Linked DNA regions of Coturnix japonica. The protein of the gene in region 3 purifies or fractionates together with the protein of the main gene of each other region. This does not show direct contact. Links are inferred from orthologs where the notes say so. Each region holds a gene or a part of one and is shown on either strand. Other genes may lie near its edges. The genes, in order: SPAG5, ARFGEF1 and MYCBP.

Region 1 (6,274 bases), on a different chromosome or scaffold from region 3:
TTTAAGGCTTTCTCCAACCTAAGGACCCCACACTCCTACCACGACCACCTCCACCCACGCCCCAGGGTGTGCAAAACCAGCACTACTGAGCTCCCCAACCTGAATTACTGAACTCAACCAGAGCTGCTTTGCCTCAAGCTGTGCCCCCATCCCCCCTATGCATGCACTGAGCCCAACCCCAAGGGTTCGGGTATAGCAGGGATGAGCACAAAGCCATACTGCAGGCTCTGGTGGGCTTCCAGCAGCTCCTGGTGCTGCAAGCTGCGCTCCTGCAGCTCAGCCAGCGTGGATTTCAGCTTGGCTTCCACCTCCATCAGCTGCCTGCGGGACATGCGGTTCTCCTGGTCCAGAAACTGCGGGATAGGATTGAGACGGGGTTAAAACACACACAGCCATGAGCACCCCCTGCGTGGTCCCATTCAACCACGGGGCAGCACATGACACACACAGCTGGGGGAATCACCCTGAGCATCACTGTGCGTACAGCCCTACGTGCAGCCTGGCAGCACCGCGAGCTGCTGCTGGATGGCTGCCACCTGCCATTAGGGACATGTGATGCTGCACCACGTGCCCTGGCTCTCACCTCCCTGCACTCCACTGCTTCCTGCAGCTCCCTGCGCTCCCGCTGCAAAGCATCGCGCTCCTTGCTCAGCCTGACACCAAGGGAGGAGATAAGCTCCAAGGCGTGGAGATAAGCCACAGGGCGGGGGGACACCCCAAGGGATAGATGGGGGTGCTGAGAGGGGACATGCACACAGACCTGCTCATCTGCTCCTTCTGTTCCTCGTAGTCCTGCAGCAGCGTGTCCTGCTCCTGCTGCAGGCTGGCCAGCTGCTTCATCACCATGCTCAGATCTGGAGGGGGGAAGAGCTGTGAGCACAGGAACACCCCACACCCCGCTGCCACCCCCTTATAACTCTGCCCTCCTCCCCCATCACCACCTGTGCTGAGCCGTGAGTTGGTGACTGCCAGCTGCTCCCCCTGCGTCATCGCATCCTGCAGAGCCTCCAGGGTCTTCTCCAGCTGTTGGGACACCTGCAGAGATGTGGGGTTAACACAGAGCATCCCACACCCTCCATTCCCCATATCCTCCATAGGTCAGCCCCCACAAATCCCTTTCCTTATTGATCCCTGAGGTGCACTGGGTGGCCCCATTACCTCCTCCTTGGCTTGGAGAGCTTCCTCCACCCGTTGCATTGCAGCATCCCGCTCCTGCATACAGCTGTGCAGCTTAGTGGAGACATCCCGCAGCGCAGCCGTGCAGCGAGACACCAGGGCACGGACCTGCTCCCGCTGTAAGGGACAGGGACAGGGGCAGCCTTAGGCTGAGCAGTGGTGACATGGGTGACACCCAGTGTTGGGACATTGGGACAGCCCTCACCTCCCCATCCAGAGCTCCACGCTCCTCCTGCAGGTTGGCAAAGGTCACGTCTATGAATTGCCGGAAGGGCTGAGCCTCTGCAGCCAGGGACACCTAGAGAGGAAAGCAAGGAGTGAAAGCAAGGAGGGATCCCATAGGGAGCACAGCCCTGAGTCAGGACTCTCATACCATGCAGGGTTTGGGGTCATGCTATACCTGCTGCTGGATGGCAGCTGCCAGCAGCGTGCTCAGCTCCTGCAGCAGCTCCAGGCTCTGCGTGCGGGCACCGATCTGGGCAGCAGCGTGGGAGCGAAACGCCTCCAGGAATCCATCACCCTGCAGAAAGGGGGGGCACAGCTCAAGGCTCATCACACCCCCCCATCTGTAGGTGGGGACAGCAGCGTCCCAGTGTGGGACACGTTACCTCCTGCTTAGCACGAAGGGCTTCGTCTGCTCTGTGCTGTGCAGCATCCCGCTCCTGCAGGCAGCTCCGCAGCTTGGCAGGGACAGCACGGAGCAGCACGTTGCACCGGGACACCATGGCATGAACCTGCAGCCGCTGCAATGGGACAGCAGCCCTCCTCATCCAGCTGCCACCCCCCTCAGCCACATCCCTGCATCCCCCCATACCCACCTGCTGCTCCAGCACCGCGTGGTCACCCCGTACATCCTGCAGGGCAGCATCTGCCACCTCCTGCAGCACACGACGCCGCTCGGCCCATGCGTCCTGAGGGAGGAATGAGGACAATGATGGCACCACCCAAACCCCATACAGACCCCATACAGACCCCATACAGACCATGGCCTCCACTGCTCGTGCCAGCTGCTGTGCCAGCTCCAGCTCTGCCCCACGCTGCCGCTGCACAGCCTGCATCTTGTTCCGCAGCTCCACGTAGAGGCCGTGGTAGATCCCCTCCTCCTAAAGACAAGGCAGGATGTGCACCCCAATAGCAACCCCATACACACCCAGCACTCCATGCCACAGCAGGGTCTGATTCACAGCCCCTCCTGCATGTTGTAGGATGGGACACTCACCCCCCGGGGCCGGGTGACATCAGTCTGTGTGTGTGCATCCCTCTGTCCTGCTGGTCCCACAGTGGGCAGTGGGCACTGGGAGCCCTGCAGGTCCCGCAGCTGCAGTGACAGCGCCTCGATGATGATCAGGGTGCTCTCCAGCCTTCCCTCCAGCTCCGATCGGGGCAGCAAACGCAGCTGATCCCGGGAACAGCTGTGAACAGAGGGAACCCCAAAGGTTGGGGATGGGAACATGGCATGGGAACCCAACCCCATAAACAGCAGGGACACGTACTGCCACAGCAGAGAGTCGGTCTCAGCAGCGCTGTCCTTGGCATCGGCAGGCTTGGATGTGCCAGAGCTCCTCTCCTCTGGGGTCATGGTGGTGCCCATAGACACGGTGGGCACTGGGGTGATACTGGTCCCCATAGACATAGTGGGCACTGGGGTGACAGTGGTGCCCATAGACATAGTGAGCACTGGGGTGACACTGGTGCCCAGAGACATAGTGGGCACTGGGGTGATATTGGTGCCCATAGACATTGTGGGCACTGGGGTGATACTGGTGCCCATAGACATAGTGGGCACTGGGGTGATACTGGTGCCAATGGATCCAGTGGGTACTGGGGTGACATTAGTGGCAGTGGTTCCACAGGGCACCGGGCTGACATTGGTGGCAATGGTTCCGGTGGGCACTGGGGTGACATTGGTGCCTGTGGCCGTGGTTGGCACTGGGGTGACACTGCTTCCTACAGGTACGGTGGGCACTGGGGTTACAGTGGTACCCATAGATACGGTGGGCACTGGGGTGACAGTGGTACCCATAGATATAGTGGGCACTGGGGTGACAGCGGTACCCATAGCTACAGTGGGCACTGGGGTGATGCTGGTGGCAGCATCCTGCCATGACACAGACAAGGGCAGGCTGCGCCGTATGGATTCCAGCACAGACGAGGAGGGGAGGGTCCTCTCCAGCCACACGAGGGGGGCTAACCAGGACACAGCCCCCAGGGACGGCTCAGACAAAGACATTGGGGTGGGGGCTGCTGCTGCTGCTGCCCCTACAGGCTCTGAGCCCACTACCTCAGCCTGGGGGGAGCACTGCTCTGCTGGGGCAGGGCTTGGGGTTCCAGCCATCCCTAATGTGCTGGGATGTGGAGGAGAACCCACAGCCCCATCCTCAGACAGGGGCTGGGAAGAAACGGGGCTGCAAGAGAGATCAGGGGGGGCTGCTCGCCACCGATGGAACGGAGTGTGCTGTGGGGTGGAGGTACCGGGGGGGCCTGGAGAGGGGCTGCCGGGGGAGTCCAGAGTGCAGGGCCCTATAGAGGGGCTGCCAGCAGGGTCAGGACTATGCAGCTCCAAGGGGGGGATGCTGGGGGGGTCTGGAGAGGGAGGCAGTGGGGGGAGGAGGCTGGGGGAGAATGGGAAGAAGGGCAGCGGGGCTCTGCCAAGGGGCTGTGGGGGGGCCCTGCTGGGGGTCTCTGGGGGGGTGTCCTCTTGGGGAGTATCACCCGGGGGTAGCAGGGTGTCAGGCCCTGAGATGGTATCACCTGGGGGCTCGGGGGCATCTGTAACAAGGGCAACATGGCCAGAGGTCTCTGAGATGCTGATGAGGTCTGGGATGGCATTGCCTGAGGGCTCCGGGAGGGGCTTCAAGGAGCTGGGGGGCTTCACATCGATGCTGCAGGGGGGGCACGGGACAGCGGCTACGGGAAGAAACGGGGCGATACGGCCGGGGGGACATCGAGTGCAGGGTACAGGAGTGACGGCATCATGGTCCTGGAGAATGAAGGGGAGAGGAATCAGGGCAACAACCCCCACACACCTACTTCAGTGCCCCATAGACCCCATAGAGCTGCCCCATAGAACCCCCCATAGGGCCGCCCCATAGAGCTGCCCCATAGAGCTGCCCCATAGACCCCCTTAGAGCTGCCCCATAGAGACCCCATAGCTGCCCCATAGCTGCCCCATAGCTGCCCCATAGCTGCCCCATAGCTGCCCCATAGCTGCCCCATAGCTGCCCCATAGCGCCCCATAGCTGCCCCATAGACCCCCTTAGAGCCGCCCCACAGACCCCCTTACGCCTGCCCCATAGACCCCCTATAGCCCCCCATAGACCCCCTATAGCTGCCCCTCCTCCCATCCCATCCCCCCCCACCCCGACCTTGATCCTCATCCTGCGCATCAATGGGGTGATGTTGGTCCGCTCCGCTCCCGGCTGCAGCCGCAGCTCCTGCAGGGGGCGCCGTGGTGCCTGGGGAGCGGGTCAGAACCGGGTCAGAACCGGAACCACCCCCACCCCAACCGGTACCGAGCGAACGGCCCCGCATCCAACCGCCCCTAGAACCGCTACCGGGACCCATCCGTAGCGTCATAGCGGACTCTCAGCCCGATAAACAGCGGCTACGGGACCAGAACCGGAACCGGAACCGGGACCAGAACCGGGACCAGAACCGGGACCAACCCCCCCCCGTTCCCCCACTCACGCCATTGCCGCACGCTCCCGACATGGCCACGCTCCCGCTGCGCCGCTGCCCGCCGCCCATTTGAAAACACAGCGCGCTTCTGATTGGTCCAGAGATGGGGGCGGGGCTACGTCGGTTGTGGGCGGGGCTACGTGCGGAGTGGGCGTGGTTTGTAGTGTTGGCCACGCCCACTTGGCGGGAAATCACGGCGTGATGTGAGACCCTAAGGGGGGGGGGGTCTGTGTTGTTCACTGTTCACTTATGGGGCTTATGACCCACTTATGGGGCTGGGGACCCACTTATGGGGCTGGGGAGTCACTTATGGGGCGATTTGGGACCCCCAAACTCACTTATGGGGCAATTTGGGACCCACTTATGGGGTTTGGGACCCCCCAAACTCACTTATGGGGCGATTTTGACCCACTTATGGGGCGATTTGGGACCCACTTATGGGGCTGGATGTCACTTATGGGGGGGGTTCAGTGTTGGGTGGGGGGATTCTGTATTCGGTGGGGGGGTTCTAATGTTGGTTGGGGGGGGGGTTCTGTATTGGGTTGGTGGGTTCTATGTTGGGGGGGGGGTTCTATGTTGGGTTGGTGGGTTCTATGTTGGGTGGGGGGGTTCTATGTTGGTCTCAGCTCCGTGCATCCTCTGCCGTCAGTGCATGGCCCCACAGGAGACACCCACAGCGTTCCCGTCTGGTCTGGGTTTATTGCACCCGTGGGGCGAGGTACAGAGGGGGGGCGTGTCCCTGAGTGCTGCGGGGTCCCTCCGTGGTGGGGGGGTTCCCTCCAGCCCAGGCTCAGCCGGGCCAAGGCCGGTTCAATGGGGCAGTGAAGTCGCAGTCGAAGTCGTCGAAGGTGGCTGGGTCGGGCAGGGGCTGCTCGTTGGGGTGCGGGGCCACGGCCACGGGCACAGGGTCCTTCTGCAGCAGCTCGGCGTCAAAAGCCACCCCACGGAAAAAAGGGTGAGCCTGGAAGTGGTGGAGGTAGCGCAGGCGGCGAAGGGGGTTGTGGCACAGCAGCTGGTAACGGAGGGAGGATGGATGGTGAGCAACGAGGGGGGCAGCAGTGGGGACACTGAGCACAAGGGTTGGGGTCACCTCTGCCAGCAGTCGGCTCAGAGCAGGGCTGAGCGCGGGGGGGCTCACAAAGCTGCTCTCTTTGACACGCTCCAGCATGGCCACGTGGTCCCTGGCTGGTGGCACTGGAAACTGGGGGGGGGGCAAGGAGCAGGTTTAGGGTCTCCGTTTGGTGTCCTTAAGCCCATCATCACCCCACAGTGCTCACAGTGCTCACCTCCCCACTGGCCAGGGCAAAGAGCAGGACACCCAGGGACCACCAGTCGGCTGCGTGGCTGTATGGACCCCCGCTCAGCACCTCTGGGGCTGCGGGGATGAGGAGGTGAGTGGTGCCCCCAGCCATCCCCCTTT
Region 2 (6,174 bases), on a different chromosome or scaffold from region 3:
AATTTCTGGGGCTTCTTTATAGGATACAATCTCCCAGAAGTCTGTAGATATTCATGATACTGTTCAACCGAGATCTTCAGATGGACGCCCACATCAACCCAGTGCAGTGCCTACGGGAAGTGAAGAAGTGAGCAAAGCCAGATCAACAGCAAGTGCGTGTTTCTGAGTGGTTTGGTATCCTGTATCAGTTGAGTCATGCTTAGCAGGTGATGTCTTTAGTTATAGCTCCAACTGTAATTTAAGAAACATCACTTGGAAAAAAATGGCCTGGATTACATTTTTGTCTCAGCTTTTAAGAATTAAGATAATACCGTAGTGTTGTAAGCTAAGCACCAATTTCTTTTCTGAAAGAATTTCCAGAACAGAAGTTATTTGCTGCCCTTCTGATCAAGTGCGTTGTACAACTGGAACTCATTCAGACTATCGACAACATTGTGTTCTTCCCTGCAACCAGCAAAAAAGAGGATGCAGAGAATCTAGCGGCAGCACAAGTAAGTGAAATGTACAGGTGTGTTCTCTCTTTAGCAGCTTCTTCTCAAGTGCATAAAGTTTCATGAACTCCTGGAACTCGGAATTTACAGCTTTTAGAAGTTCTAGAGAACGTGCAGCAGACTGTTGAGATCTTTTACAGCTTGTGTACAATTGGGTTTGCTGTGCTTCTGTGGTACACTGTGGAGATGGGGATGTTTATTGTTCAGTGATCTCTCCAACCTGGGATACTGGTGCGATTTTTCATACAGTTTTAAGTTTAAGTACAGACACAGATAAGAACAGGGTAGGGTTGTGATGTCACAGGAGCTTAATGAAGGCAGTTGTCAGTTCTGACCTGAAATCTTCCTCTCCTTTTCCCCAAAAAGAGAGATGCAGTAGATTTTGATGTCCACGTGGATACACAAGATCAAGGGATGTATCGTTTTCTGACATCACAGCAGCTTTTCAAACTCCTCGATTGCCTGCTGGAATCTCACAGGTTTGCTAAGGCCTTCAATTCCAACAATGAACAAAGAACCGCTCTCTGGAAAGCGGGTGAGTCAGTCAGTCTCTGTGGAGAGAGGTTCTTCAAGAACGTGCTGCTGGGCTTTGAATTGATGAGGAAAAAAAGGTCTAAAAATACAGCGGTGCTGTAATTTTATAACCTTAGACACCCCGAAGTGGAGGAGGCCCCAGTTATACGGGTGCAAATGCCTTTTGAATTTCCAAAGATGTAATGGGCTGCATTTGGGTGTACACAGCTGCCACGTTAAATGCTGGCTGTAGGTGCAAAACTGCAGGTACAAAACAGCATTAGGAGGGTTGTGGGGCTAACAGGTCTCTTCTTGAAATACGTGGTGTTTTCCAGAACGGGTTGAAAATAGAATCTCTGTACCGAAGCAGTTCAGTCTATTCCTTGCACTGAAATTAGCATTATTAATCTATAAATACATAATATACGTTACAAAATAAGCACTTAGAAATATATATTTATATAAACATGTATTATTGCTGTCTGTATGTATTGTATGTTATATGTTAACGAATGTTAACTCTCTGTTATGCAGGGCACGCTCAGGAGAGGTATGAAAATGAAACACACAAAACCCTAAATGAATTCTTTGAATTTCTTTAGGTTTTAAAGGCAAATCCAAGCCCAATCTTCTGAAACAGGAGACGAGCAGCCTTGCCTGTGGGTTACGCATTCTGTTCCGCATGTACATGGATGAGAGCCGAACCAGTGCATGGGAAGAAGTCCAGCAAAGGCTGCTAAAGTAAGGGCCATGTAGCAGAACCTGTTGCTGTTATGTCTGTTAAAGAGTGTGCTGGTTTGGGTTTGCTTGTTTATTTGCACGTTGTTTTTTCATTGTTGAATATTTATTATAATCCACTCAGATTCACCTGAATGTTCTTAGTTTACAAAGTCCTTCAAGCCAGAGTTAGAACAACAGAGGGCTTCAGACTGTGCTGGAGAAAGAATGGAGGTATTTTAAGGTTTGATAGACCAAGGAGCAAAGATGAAAAACTCTGTTCTTGCATCAGCATGAGATTGTCTCCATTGTGTCATTCAGTCTTGCATTCCAACACCCCTCAGAGAGCACTTGGTACCATTTACGTAGGATGTGCAAACACTGCTATCACAGTTCATAATCCTGTTCAATACTGAGGTTTCTCAGAGCGATGTGGTGCTTTGCTGGGTCTCTGTGCTGTTGTAGCTGATTACAAAGCCAAAGCTCGCCCTGCAGAGGAGCTCAAAATACAATGTGAGTTACTGGTTTCTGTCTTCTCTCTCCAGTGTCTGCAGCGAGGCTCTGAGTTACTTTCTTACTCTCACATCCGAAAGCCATCGGGAGGCCTGGACTAATCTGCTGCTCTTATTTTTGACTAAGGTTCTGAAGATAAGTGATGAAAGGGTAGGTAATGGGAACATCTTGAAATCACAGAATCACAGAATTGTAGGGGTTGGAAGGGACCTCTAGAGATCATCGAGTCCAACCCCCCTGCCAAAGCAGGCTCCCTACACCACGTCACACAGGTAGGCATCCAGGTGGGTCTTGAATATCTCTAGAGAAGGAGACTCCACCACCTCCCTGGGCAGCCTGTTCCAGTGCTCCGTCACCCTCACTGTAAAGTTCTTCCGCACATTCGTGCAGAACTTCCTATGCTGTAGTTTCATCCCATTACCCCTAGTCCTGTCCCCACGCACTACTGAAAAGAGTCCAGCCTTGCCACTATGGCTCCCACACCTCAGGTATTTATAAATGCTGCATTAAATATTATTTCAGACCAGCAGCTCTTGGCACGCAGCCATGCACTTCGCTTCAGAGGTTCCTGCTGCTCTGTAGGGTTGTGTGTTGTGGAAATCTGTGTAACTGAGTAGTGGTTACCAATGACTGCAGTGCCGAATGGGGGTACAGTGACTGCTGACTGTCTGAGGATCTTTTAAAGATGCTAAAATCGTTTAGAAATGTGTTTTAGGTTGTTTTTATGCCTCTCTTGCTGAGGAGAAGGGTTAGTGGCTGGTACTGCTTGGAAATAACTCCTGGTTTTGGTTCCCATGTTGCCTTGACCTTTCCCAAAGCAGTTCCAGATTAAATAGATCTGAATTTAGATCTCCCTCCATTTCTAGCAGAACTTGGCTGAAGTGTTAAGTGAGGGAGGCCAGCCCCTACCTCAGATGTAATGGATAAGGGCAAAATTCCTCCTGTTGATGTGTAAGAGTTAGAGATATGCACGCAGCCAGTGAGCATCTGACAGCTGCCTTAGCCTTATCCCAGCACTGCCAGCTTCTGTTACAGTGATGCTTCAGCTTGTCACTGTGTGGATTTCTCACCTTGCCTTAGGAGAGCACTTGAAATCCTTCACTCGCAGCTCTCTGAGTTGTGCTGCTGCCTTATGGAATAACCTGCTCTGTTTGTTTGTTTTCTCCTCAGTTCAAGGCTCACGCCTCCTTCTACTACCCTCTCTTGTGTGAAATCATGCAGTTTGACCTTATCCCTGAACTCCGAGCTGTTCTGCGAAGGTTCTTCCTGCGGATTGGCGTGGTTTTTCAGATATCCCAACCAGCAGAGCACGAGGCTGCACTAGGCAAGCAGTAGCACGTAGTGACTGGGGATTGCTCCCTTACAAGTGTAACTTCCTCAGCTAAATAAAAGGACCAGGGAGCGGAGCCGTTCTGTCTGGGCATCCATAGAAATGGTTTCTTTGTACGGCAGCGTTGTATCTAAGGATGAATGGTACAGATGCTTACACCTGTAATTAAGGCTTGCAACACTCCAGTCTCTTTATTTCCTGATGGGTTGTCTGTGGGTTTCTCTGCCCTGGCTGGTGCTGAGCACAGAGCCAGTTTTTAGCACAGTCCTCTCGTCAGCGTGGGCTGCGCCATCCTTTCCCATCCCAGGCAGCAGTAGAGCAACAGATGTTGGTGGCGGGTGTGGAAGGAGAACGTAGCCAAAGAACTCGGTATGTAAAGGTTTGAGCTTCTGCGAGTACAACTCAGGAGAGCTGTATTTGAAGGATCAGATGTTTATAGTGAAAAGAAAAAGGAGATTATCGCTCATGGGAAAGGTTCATTAGCACCCGTGGCTGATATTCTAAGATTTTTTTGCACACTCAGGCTGACTGAGACATTGGTAAATCATCCTCCTGTGAAAATGTACAGAGATGCAGGTCTGTAATATAAACTCTTTAACACTATACAGTTCTTCCTGAATTGTTTTCTTTCTGTGGTTTTGAGTTGTTGGAAACCCAGCGCACTCGGTTGTTCACCAGATGCACTACAGGTTTGGGGCTGTTGCGGGGGGGGCTGTGGTTTCTTTCTCCGGTTTCGTTGTAGCCCAGCAGTTGGTGTTGCTGACTTTGGTGGAGAGCAGAGGTTAGAGGTACCACGACTGACATAACTACCTGTAATATACTTGTCTTAGGGCTTCTCAGTATAACGAGCCATCAAAACGACGATCCTTCAAGGACTGGAACGCGAATCACCGCAAACAAGTCTAGGTTGTGTCTGCTGTCACCTGTTTTTTCGTTTGATGTAGATTTCACTCTGATGTACAGAATTTAACGTGGAATATATTCGAGTAACAAATCGGGCATGGCTTGGGGATGGTTCAATTTATTGGAGATGTATTCATACTGTGAATTGTGCTCTGATGGTTAACAGACGAGATTGTCAAAGCATTCTGTATTACAATGGATGTAGAAATTTTTTTCAGATGGACAAAATGTATATGGTACAGATATGTAAAGTTTTCTATGTAAAAAAAAATTCTGTACAACTTTCTGTACAATATTTGGTTCTCATCTGGCATAATCTAATCGGGTTATAGGTCAATAAAGTTTTTGAACTCTTTCATCAGTGCAATCAAAACCAGCCTAAGCCACAGCACTTGTTTTATACCTTCCTTTGCCAAAGCTCCACTGCTTGTAAGCAAGAGAGGATGGGGTTGTGCTGGAAGCTGTGGATGCTGCAGGAGAGTGGAGCTGCTCAGGGTTTCTCCTGCTTTGAAGAGGGACTGGGCAGCCCCTGCTTCACAGTATCACAGTCTCGTGCGGGTTGGAAGGGACCTTAGAGATCATCGAGTCCAACCCCCGGGATTCGAGCCCCTGTGTAGCAGAGCGGCACTTCTACCACTTGCGCCACAGGGGGATTCGAACCCGGGCCTCTGGTGTTGCAACGTGGCATTCCTACCACTGCACCACCGTCATTGGCCTTCCTTCATGAGATGGGAAGTGACAGCACCTCACCACTACTGCTGATTTTAGTACCAAAATAATTTATTGTGACCTCTTAAATCAGAAACATAAATATATATATATCGCACTATCTGCATCTCCAACACAAACCAGGTTAGGAAGGTAAGATAGATATAATGCTAACAGTTCTTCCATCTAACAGCTCACCACAACAGCACACGTTCAGCACTGAGAAGGGGAAGTGCCCCCTCGAGGCTGTTCACTCTTAAAGCTCAAACAGCACCTCCCTGCTGTGTCACTGTTTGCAAACAAACACTCTTAAGAGTTTTGCTACGAACAAAGGTAAAACATAACTCTGATTGAATATCAAATTCACACACACACCCCGTTCCCAGCAGATCCCCCTCTGAGGCCGAAACCAACTTGTATAAAAAGTGCAAGAAATGCCAAAGTACTTCAATGCGCCACTGCCACACGGTGCAGAACCCTGCGCTGAGGGTCCCCACCACACTGCAGCTTCTGTTTCTTCATTATTGCTACTTGAAATTAGACATAGAGCTCCACACTATTCACACTGAGTACAGCTGTCCCTAGGAGTGACCCAAAAAGTGCAGTAGTGCTGAACAGGACGTTCCTTCCCTTGCTGCAAGGCACACGTGGGTTCCACACAGGCCGCGCTCAGCCGTGTGCGGTGGAGAGGCCCTGCCAGCCCAGCGGCAGAGCACCATCGGGAGGCAGCTTTGCCGGGCTCTGCTGCTCAGTCAGGAACCTGTGGAGCGTTGCAGCCGTTCCCGGTCGCAGCCAGGGCTCAGTGGCGATGGAGTCAGCAGAACTGGGCGGGCGGCTGTCTTTGGAGGGGGGGGGCTTCATCAGGTCATCTGCTTCTCCTGGGGCTACATCCGCACCTGGGGAGAAGAGCAACACGGGTGAGAATCAGAGTCATAGAATGGCCTGGGTTGAAAAGGACCACAATGATCATCCAGTTTCAACCCCCCTGCTATATGCAGG
Region 3 (6,274 bases):
TCCGGTGGGGACATCAACAGTTCAACACACGGATGGAAGATGTCAGGGCTTGTCAGTGGACACCATAGAGCTTAATGTTACACATTTTCTGTAAAGAAAGGTATGTTTTGTTTCTAATGTGCTGTTTATCTTAGTTTGTTTCTCTTTTATGATGTCTGACACCTCTTTGTCTGCCAGTTTGAAAGTGTATTTTCGTGTTTAATTGTGGTCTTAATGTAACATTTCCTCTGTAGTCAGAGGCAGAGCAGCCACAAGAATTTAACATCCATTTACTTCCTTAACATTCTTGTTTTACAGCACGAAAACTAATCACATTTGAACTGAAAACTCTGTGTCAAATGACCTATATGCTAAAAAATCAGATTATGCTGCTTTTAATGTGATTGAAGTCCAAACAAAGTAACGTTATATCTACAGACAGAACCGTTTATGAAGCCAGCAGATAATTTTTTGCACAAGTCATTCATTTTCTCATAGGCTCGTGGGCAAAGGTAGCAGCACTTGGTGCTTGGATACTGTTCTGTACTTCAAACAGAGGTGTCATGAAGCAGAACTGGACTGGTGACGGGGGGTTGTTTATTTGCTTAGCACTAGGGGACAGGAAGTATTTTCTCTGTTTGCCTGCAGATACCTTCTCAGGTATCCTACAGATAAATATCCCACTGTCACAGTGGCATCTATTGGATGATGGGGAAGCAGATCCCTGCATGTCCAGTCCTGCTGTGAGGCAGGCACTGTATTTTCACTGACTCAGATGCATTGGGGGTGCTGCATACCTCATAGTTACATCCTTGCCTGAGTGTCTATTAGTGATAAATTAGACACAGGTGGACAACTTTGCCTCATAGCTGAGGAATAATAATGCCTACAGTGCCAACGAGTAGTGTCATGTTGCAATTGACACCGTGTGATGGTGTCATCCGTTTTATAATGAAGGGCTGCAGCTTTTACAGTTATCTGATGCTTGCTCTCTCATACGTTCCAGTGTTAAGATGGCACAATAACCATGGGAGACTGGAATTTCCTTGGAGGCATTCTGGAGGAGGTTCACATTCACTCCACTATTATTGGCAAGATTTGGCTAACCATCCTCTTCGTGTTCCGAATGCTTGTCCTTGGAGTGGCCACTGAGGACGTCTGGAATGATGAACAGTCAGAATTTATCTGCAACACAGAGCAACCTGGCTGCAGCAATATATGCTATGATGAGGCCTTCCCCATCTCTCTCATAAGATACTGGGTCTTGCAAGTTATCTTTGTGTCTTCTCCTTCTTTGGTGTATATGGGTCATGCCTTATACAGACTAAGAGCCTTAGAGAAAGAGAGACAGAAGAAGAAAGTTCAGGTGAGAGTGGAACTTGAAAGCACTGAATTAGAAATGACAGAATACAGGAGAAGGCTGGAGAGGGAACTCCGGCAGCTGGACCAAAGGAAGCTGAACAAAGCACCCCTACGAGGTTCATTGCTCTGCACTTACGTGATACATATTTTCACCAGGTCTGCAGTGGAAGTTGGTTTCATGATTGGGCAGTATCTGCTTTACGGGTTTCGCCTGGATCCCCTTTATAAATGTCACAGAGATCCATGTCCAAATGTAGTCGACTGCTTTGTATCACGACCAACTGAAAAGACAGTATTCATCCTATTCATGCAGTCAATAGCGACCGTATCATTGCTTTTAAATGTCTTGGAGATTATCCACCTTGGATTCCGTAAGATTAAAATAGGTCTGTGTGGGCAGGAGGAAAACAAGGATGATCGTGGGAATTTCTATACAAACAAATGCAAGAAATACTCAGTGATACCCCGCTCTTCTCTGGGAATATCTGCAACTCCTCCAAAAACTCTCCCTTCTGTACTTGGTGGTTATGCCTTTTTAATGGAGAAGCAAACAGACACTGCCATCTACCCAGCCTTAAACTCTGCTCCCATCTTCCAGCCCATTCAAAACAACCACGCAGAAAACAGAGGCAATTACACCCAGCACAACCAGGAAAACAAACTGCCCAAGAAAAGGCCAGCTACGAATGCTTTAGCTGGTCAGACTCCGAATGCCAGCACAGAGTGCAGGGAAGGTTTGCTGGGCAGACCTGCGACTGAAAGGAGGAACTCGCAGAAAGAAGCTGATCAGAAACACCTCCTTGCTGGTACTCAGAATGCAGATACAGCTTCGAGAAGCTTTGCTGAGATGCTGTCGCAGCCTCCCCTGCAGCCTTTTCCTGTTGCCAGCCTCAGAAGACAGCACGGAATCATCTCCTCCTGGAACTGCTGCACAGCAGCTGAGAGTGTTGGATCCTCCACAAACTCCCTTACAAAGAGCAGCAGCAGGAGACGGAGCAGCCTCAGTGCAAGCCAACTGCCCCCCAAAGCTGACACCCGGCACCCCAGCCGCCCCAACACCCCTGATTCAGCAGGGGAGGCCAGCACTGGCTCCAAGCAGAGCAGGGGCTGTGGCAGCCCCCAACCACTGCCCTTATCAGGGCGGCTGTCGCTGTCAAGCAGTGCAAGCAGCCGGAGAGCCCCCACCGACCTGCAGATATAGCATGGCTGCCCAAGCACTGTGCTTGGGTAACTGCTGGGCTTTGTGATAAGAGCAGCCCAGGAGCAGCTTCCTCATTCAGCTTTAACCAGTTCTTCCGCAGAGGTTAAGATAGAAGCTCAGCCCTTTGCTTTTAGCTCAGTAACTTCTTGCTTCGCTGGCGATGGAGGGATGGCTTCAACCTCTGTGCCAATCTTCTGCATTAACCTTCCAGCTAAGGAGAACATATACATCATATACACCATATACATAATATACACCATATACATAATATACACCATACACAACATATACATCATATACACCATATACATCATTTACATCATATATACATCATATACAACATATACATCATATACATCATTTACACCATATACATCATATACATCATATAAATCCACATACAAAGCCACACAGGAGGAGAAGCTGGGATTACAATAGCTGGTAATATGTAAGCAATAAACATAAAAGAACAAATTACAGTCTCAGAATCTATTGTATGGAGACCAGTAAATGAAATGAGGTGGAAGATCCATTCACTGCAGGTGTTTCTCCAGCAGCTGCTGTTTGTGTTCTCAGTGTGTGTGCGTTCAGCTCTGTGTAGATGTAGGGTTGGACATTTTGGATATATTTAGGTGCTATTATGCTCATTTAACCCCATGCTGTGTATGTGAATACCCCATTTGCATTTGACACCTCTATAGCAAAAAACGTGTTGACTTCACAGCTTAAAGAGCAAAGAGACAGCACTGAGGGGCTCGTATGTAGCAGCTCAAGAGTCTGGAAGGTTAGAAAGGAACCCAAAGGGCAGATATAGGGCTCTGAATGGGTTCTTATTGCCAGCCATATAGACCAACATATCTATATAGATACAGGTATAGATACAGGGCCAGGCCGAAGCCTGCAAGCACCGCGCATGCGCAAACCTCCCACAACCGGAAGGCCTAGTCGCAGAGATAGAGACCGGGACTTCCGGTTGGGTCGCCATGCCAACGGTAGGAAGCCGGGGCCGCCATATAAGAGGCGGGCGGTGGCGGTGCGGGCGTTGCGGGGTTAGATGGCGCACCACAAGGTAGGGGCTGCGGGCCCGAGAGGGTGGAGGGGCCTTCCTTATAACCCCCCAAACCCTTGGTGGTGGGGAGGGGTCGAGCTGTGTGTAGGTAGGGATGTGCCGGTGCTCTGACAGTGTGGGCGTCCTCCTTCAGGCCGCGGATTCGAAGAGGGAGCAGTTTCGGCGCTACCTGGAGAAGTCGGGGGTGTTGGATACGCTCACTAAGGGTAAGGAGGATTGAAGGCCTGTATGGGTTGGGTTGGGGCCGAGCAATGGGAATGTGCTGTGCCAGCCCCCTAATACTGGGGTTTAATGGAGGTGTCTGTGCTTATCTGGATAGGAAAGAAAAGCACGTTGAAAGCTCAACGTATTTATCTCTTTCTTATGGCTCACTGTGCTTTAAATGATTGCTAAGGGGTATGATTTAGTGTAGGGTTGTTTTAGGGTTCTGGTTAGGCTGTGGTTGGGCTTGATGATCTTTGAGGTCTTTTCCAATCTGCATAATTCTATGATCCCTTTGTGCTCTCAAGATCCTTTCAACATGGTGTTATATTCCTACTTAATAAAGCACGTTGCTTATGGGGTGTAGCAGCTGTGAGGGGTGTGCTCTGTGCTCAGCCCAGGTGTGTTGGAGCCCTTTGATTTCCTCTGGCTGTGGCTGTGCTGTTGCAATGTGGAAGCAAAACAAATCTTCCAAGCCCTGCAGCAAGCAAGTTTGGCTTCTAACTTTAAGTGTTTAGCTTAAAACTGTGCAGTTTGTGTGGCTGAAAATGGGAGGGAGGCGCTTAAGCTCCTTGAGAAGCATTTATCAAAGCAGAATGGTGGGGTGTGTGTGTGTTATGTCATTCATTTTGTGCTCCATAATCACAGAATGACCCGGGTTGGAAGGGACCTCAAGGATCATGTAGTTCCAACCCCCCTGCCTGGCAGGGCCACCAAACATACACCTTTACTAGATCAGGTTGCCCAGGAGACCCCATAGAGACCCCATAGATCAGGTTGCCCATGGCCCCGTCCAACCTGGCCTTGAACACCTCCAAGGACGGGGCATCCACAACCTCCCTGTGCAGCCTGTTCCAGGGCCTAACCACTCTCCTAGTGAAGAACTTCCCCCTAACATCCAACCTAAATCTTCCCTCTTTTAACTTAAAACCATTTCCCCGTGTCCTGATATTGTCAGCCCTATCGTCCCCTGTGGGTCAAAGAAATCCCTTCTGCCCACCCATTGAAGTATAGGATGCTCTGTTTCACCTTGTGCATGACTAAGATACTATGATGATGATCTCTGTCCTTAACATGAAGGATATAGGTGAGAATCTTGAACATGCTGTGAGCTTGGTGTGCAACTTGTATTTATTCTGTCTGCTGTATGTGTTTTGGAAACTAGAGTTGCATGGATGTCTTATAATGGTTGTTCGTCTTGTATTTGCAGTGTTAGTGGCCTTATATGAAGAGCCAGAGAAACCAAGCAGCGCACTGGAGTATCCTTTCTGTCCTCTATGGGTTGGTTCTTGCTGTTATAAGCAGCCTGTTGAGCTGAGGAAATACTTAACATCACAATATCAGCTTTTTGAAGCATCACCTGGGAGCTTCAGCTCCTGAGAGTCCAGAAATGGAGGCGCTTCGTATGGAACTGGTAGAGCTGAAGGAGAAATACGAAGCTGTGCTGGAAGAGAATGAGAAACTGAAATCCAAAGTAAAAGTCTATTTAGTGTTCAAGTCTTTTTAGTATTCCTAAGTACTTCTGTGTTTGATAAGGGTGCTTTGGCACTTATAATACAGCTAACTTTCACTGCCATAACTGATTATGATGTTATAGGGTTTGGCCTTGGGAATATTATCTCATTCCTTGCCTATATGTAGCTTCTGATGGAAGACTTGTATTCTGAAATGCAGTTTTTGCTAACAAAATAAGTAAATTAAGGGATAGTGGGAAACTCCATCTCATCATTCAGTCCCATTTGTTATCTGATAATGTGTATATGGTTCCATAAGAGCTTTGTAAAGCAGGGCTGGGGGGAAGCTAATGCTTTTCTATTCAGGCATTCCAAAGCAGGAGGGGAAATAGTGTTAGTTATTGAGGCCTGGCATGGGTCTGTGGCTGGGTTTTACCACAGGAGGTCACCCTTTACCCCTATGGAACATTAACATCCAACTCTGCTGCTCCTGTGTCTTTTAAGATGCCCCATCTAACTGATTGCCTCTCTTTAAATCCACAGCTGGCTCAATATGAACCACCTGAAGAAGAGAAGCGTGATGAATAACAGTAGTTTCTCCTTTCGTACCTTGGCTTTATTAATAAAGGGCTTATTGTGAACCGCACTCCTGCTTCTTCTATGTGAGTGCTGTGTGTCTCTGTGGGTATCTCAACTATAAGGACAAGCAGGGGGTGTGCAGCTCTATTTGTGGTCAGTCATTTTACTTCCGTGTGTGTAGGAAGGAGCTGAAAGAGGAAATAACACAGTGTAAGAGTTTCAAAGGCAAAACAACCCCCAACTCTATTGCAGGAGGTAAATTAGAGTGTATAGCATGTGTGTGCAGGCTGAGAAGGGGCTGATCTATGTATATATGGGGCTCCATATATCGGCTCGGCCCCATGTCCCCACCCTCGCCGTCATATGACCGGAGCGTCTCCCAGCACCTCCTCCATCGGCTGCGAGAAGCTTCGTTGTCAACCAATAGGG

The links.
Region 1: the proteins of MYCBP (region 3) and SPAG5 purify together in Homo sapiens (co-immunoprecipitation; 3 studies listed by BioGRID and IntAct, with this or other methods). This does not show direct contact. The link is inferred for Coturnix japonica from reciprocal best matches to the Homo sapiens genes MYCBP and SPAG5.
Region 2: the proteins of MYCBP (region 3) and ARFGEF1 purify together in Homo sapiens (co-immunoprecipitation; 4 studies listed by BioGRID and IntAct, with this or other methods). This does not show direct contact. The link is inferred for Coturnix japonica from reciprocal best matches to the Homo sapiens genes MYCBP and ARFGEF1.

What each region holds. Positions count from the first base shown.
Region 1 is NC_029534.1:4,532,891-4,539,164, forward strand, and holds the start of SPAG5 (sperm-associated antigen 5), read right to left. Parts: upstream 3,973-6,274; 5' UTR 3,512-3,972; coding exon 2,670-3,511; intron 2,589-2,669; coding exon 2,396-2,588; intron 2,280-2,395; coding exon 2,160-2,279; intron 2,088-2,159; coding exon 1,995-2,087; intron 1,920-1,994; coding exon 1,785-1,919; intron 1,697-1,784; coding exon 1,577-1,696; intron 1,475-1,576; coding exon 1,382-1,474; intron 1,294-1,381; coding exon 1,159-1,293; intron 1,036-1,158; coding exon 942-1,035; intron 855-941; coding exon 761-854; intron 654-760; coding exon 584-653; intron 354-583; coding exon 220-353; intron 1-219. Other genes in the region: RSKR (ribosomal protein S6 kinase-related protein), read right to left, coding at 5,645-6,055, 6,141-6,229. UniProt on the Homo sapiens protein: Essential component of the mitotic spindle required for normal chromosome segregation and progression into anaphase. Required for chromosome alignment, normal timing of sister chromatid segregation, and maintenance of spindle pole architecture.
Region 2 is NC_029517.1:104,481,264-104,487,437, reverse strand, and holds the end of ARFGEF1 (brefeldin A-inhibited guanine nucleotide-exchange protein 1), read left to right. Parts: intron 1-22; coding exon 23-152; intron 153-351; coding exon 352-491; intron 492-857; coding exon 858-1,026; intron 1,027-1,606; coding exon 1,607-1,745; intron 1,746-2,266; coding exon 2,267-2,384; intron 2,385-3,404; coding exon 3,405-3,569; 3' UTR 3,570-4,840; downstream 4,841-6,174. Other genes in the region: CSPP1 (centrosome and spindle pole-associated protein 1), read right to left, coding at 5,845-6,071. UniProt on the Homo sapiens protein: Promotes guanine-nucleotide exchange on ARF1 and ARF3. Promotes the activation of ARF1/ARF3 through replacement of GDP with GTP. Involved in vesicular trafficking.
Region 3 is NC_029538.1:2,897,287-2,903,560, forward strand, and holds MYCBP (C-Myc-binding protein), read left to right. Parts: upstream 1-3,502; 5' UTR 3,503-3,596; coding exon 3,597-3,611; intron 3,612-3,744; coding exon 3,745-3,817; intron 3,818-5,022; coding exon 5,023-5,071; intron 5,072-5,156; coding exon 5,157-5,286; intron 5,287-5,809; coding exon 5,810-5,854; 3' UTR 5,855-5,912; downstream 5,913-6,274. Other genes in the region: GJA9 (gap junction alpha-9 protein), read left to right, coding at 1,007-2,542. UniProt on the Homo sapiens protein: May control the transcriptional activity of MYC. Stimulates the activation of E box-dependent transcription by MYC.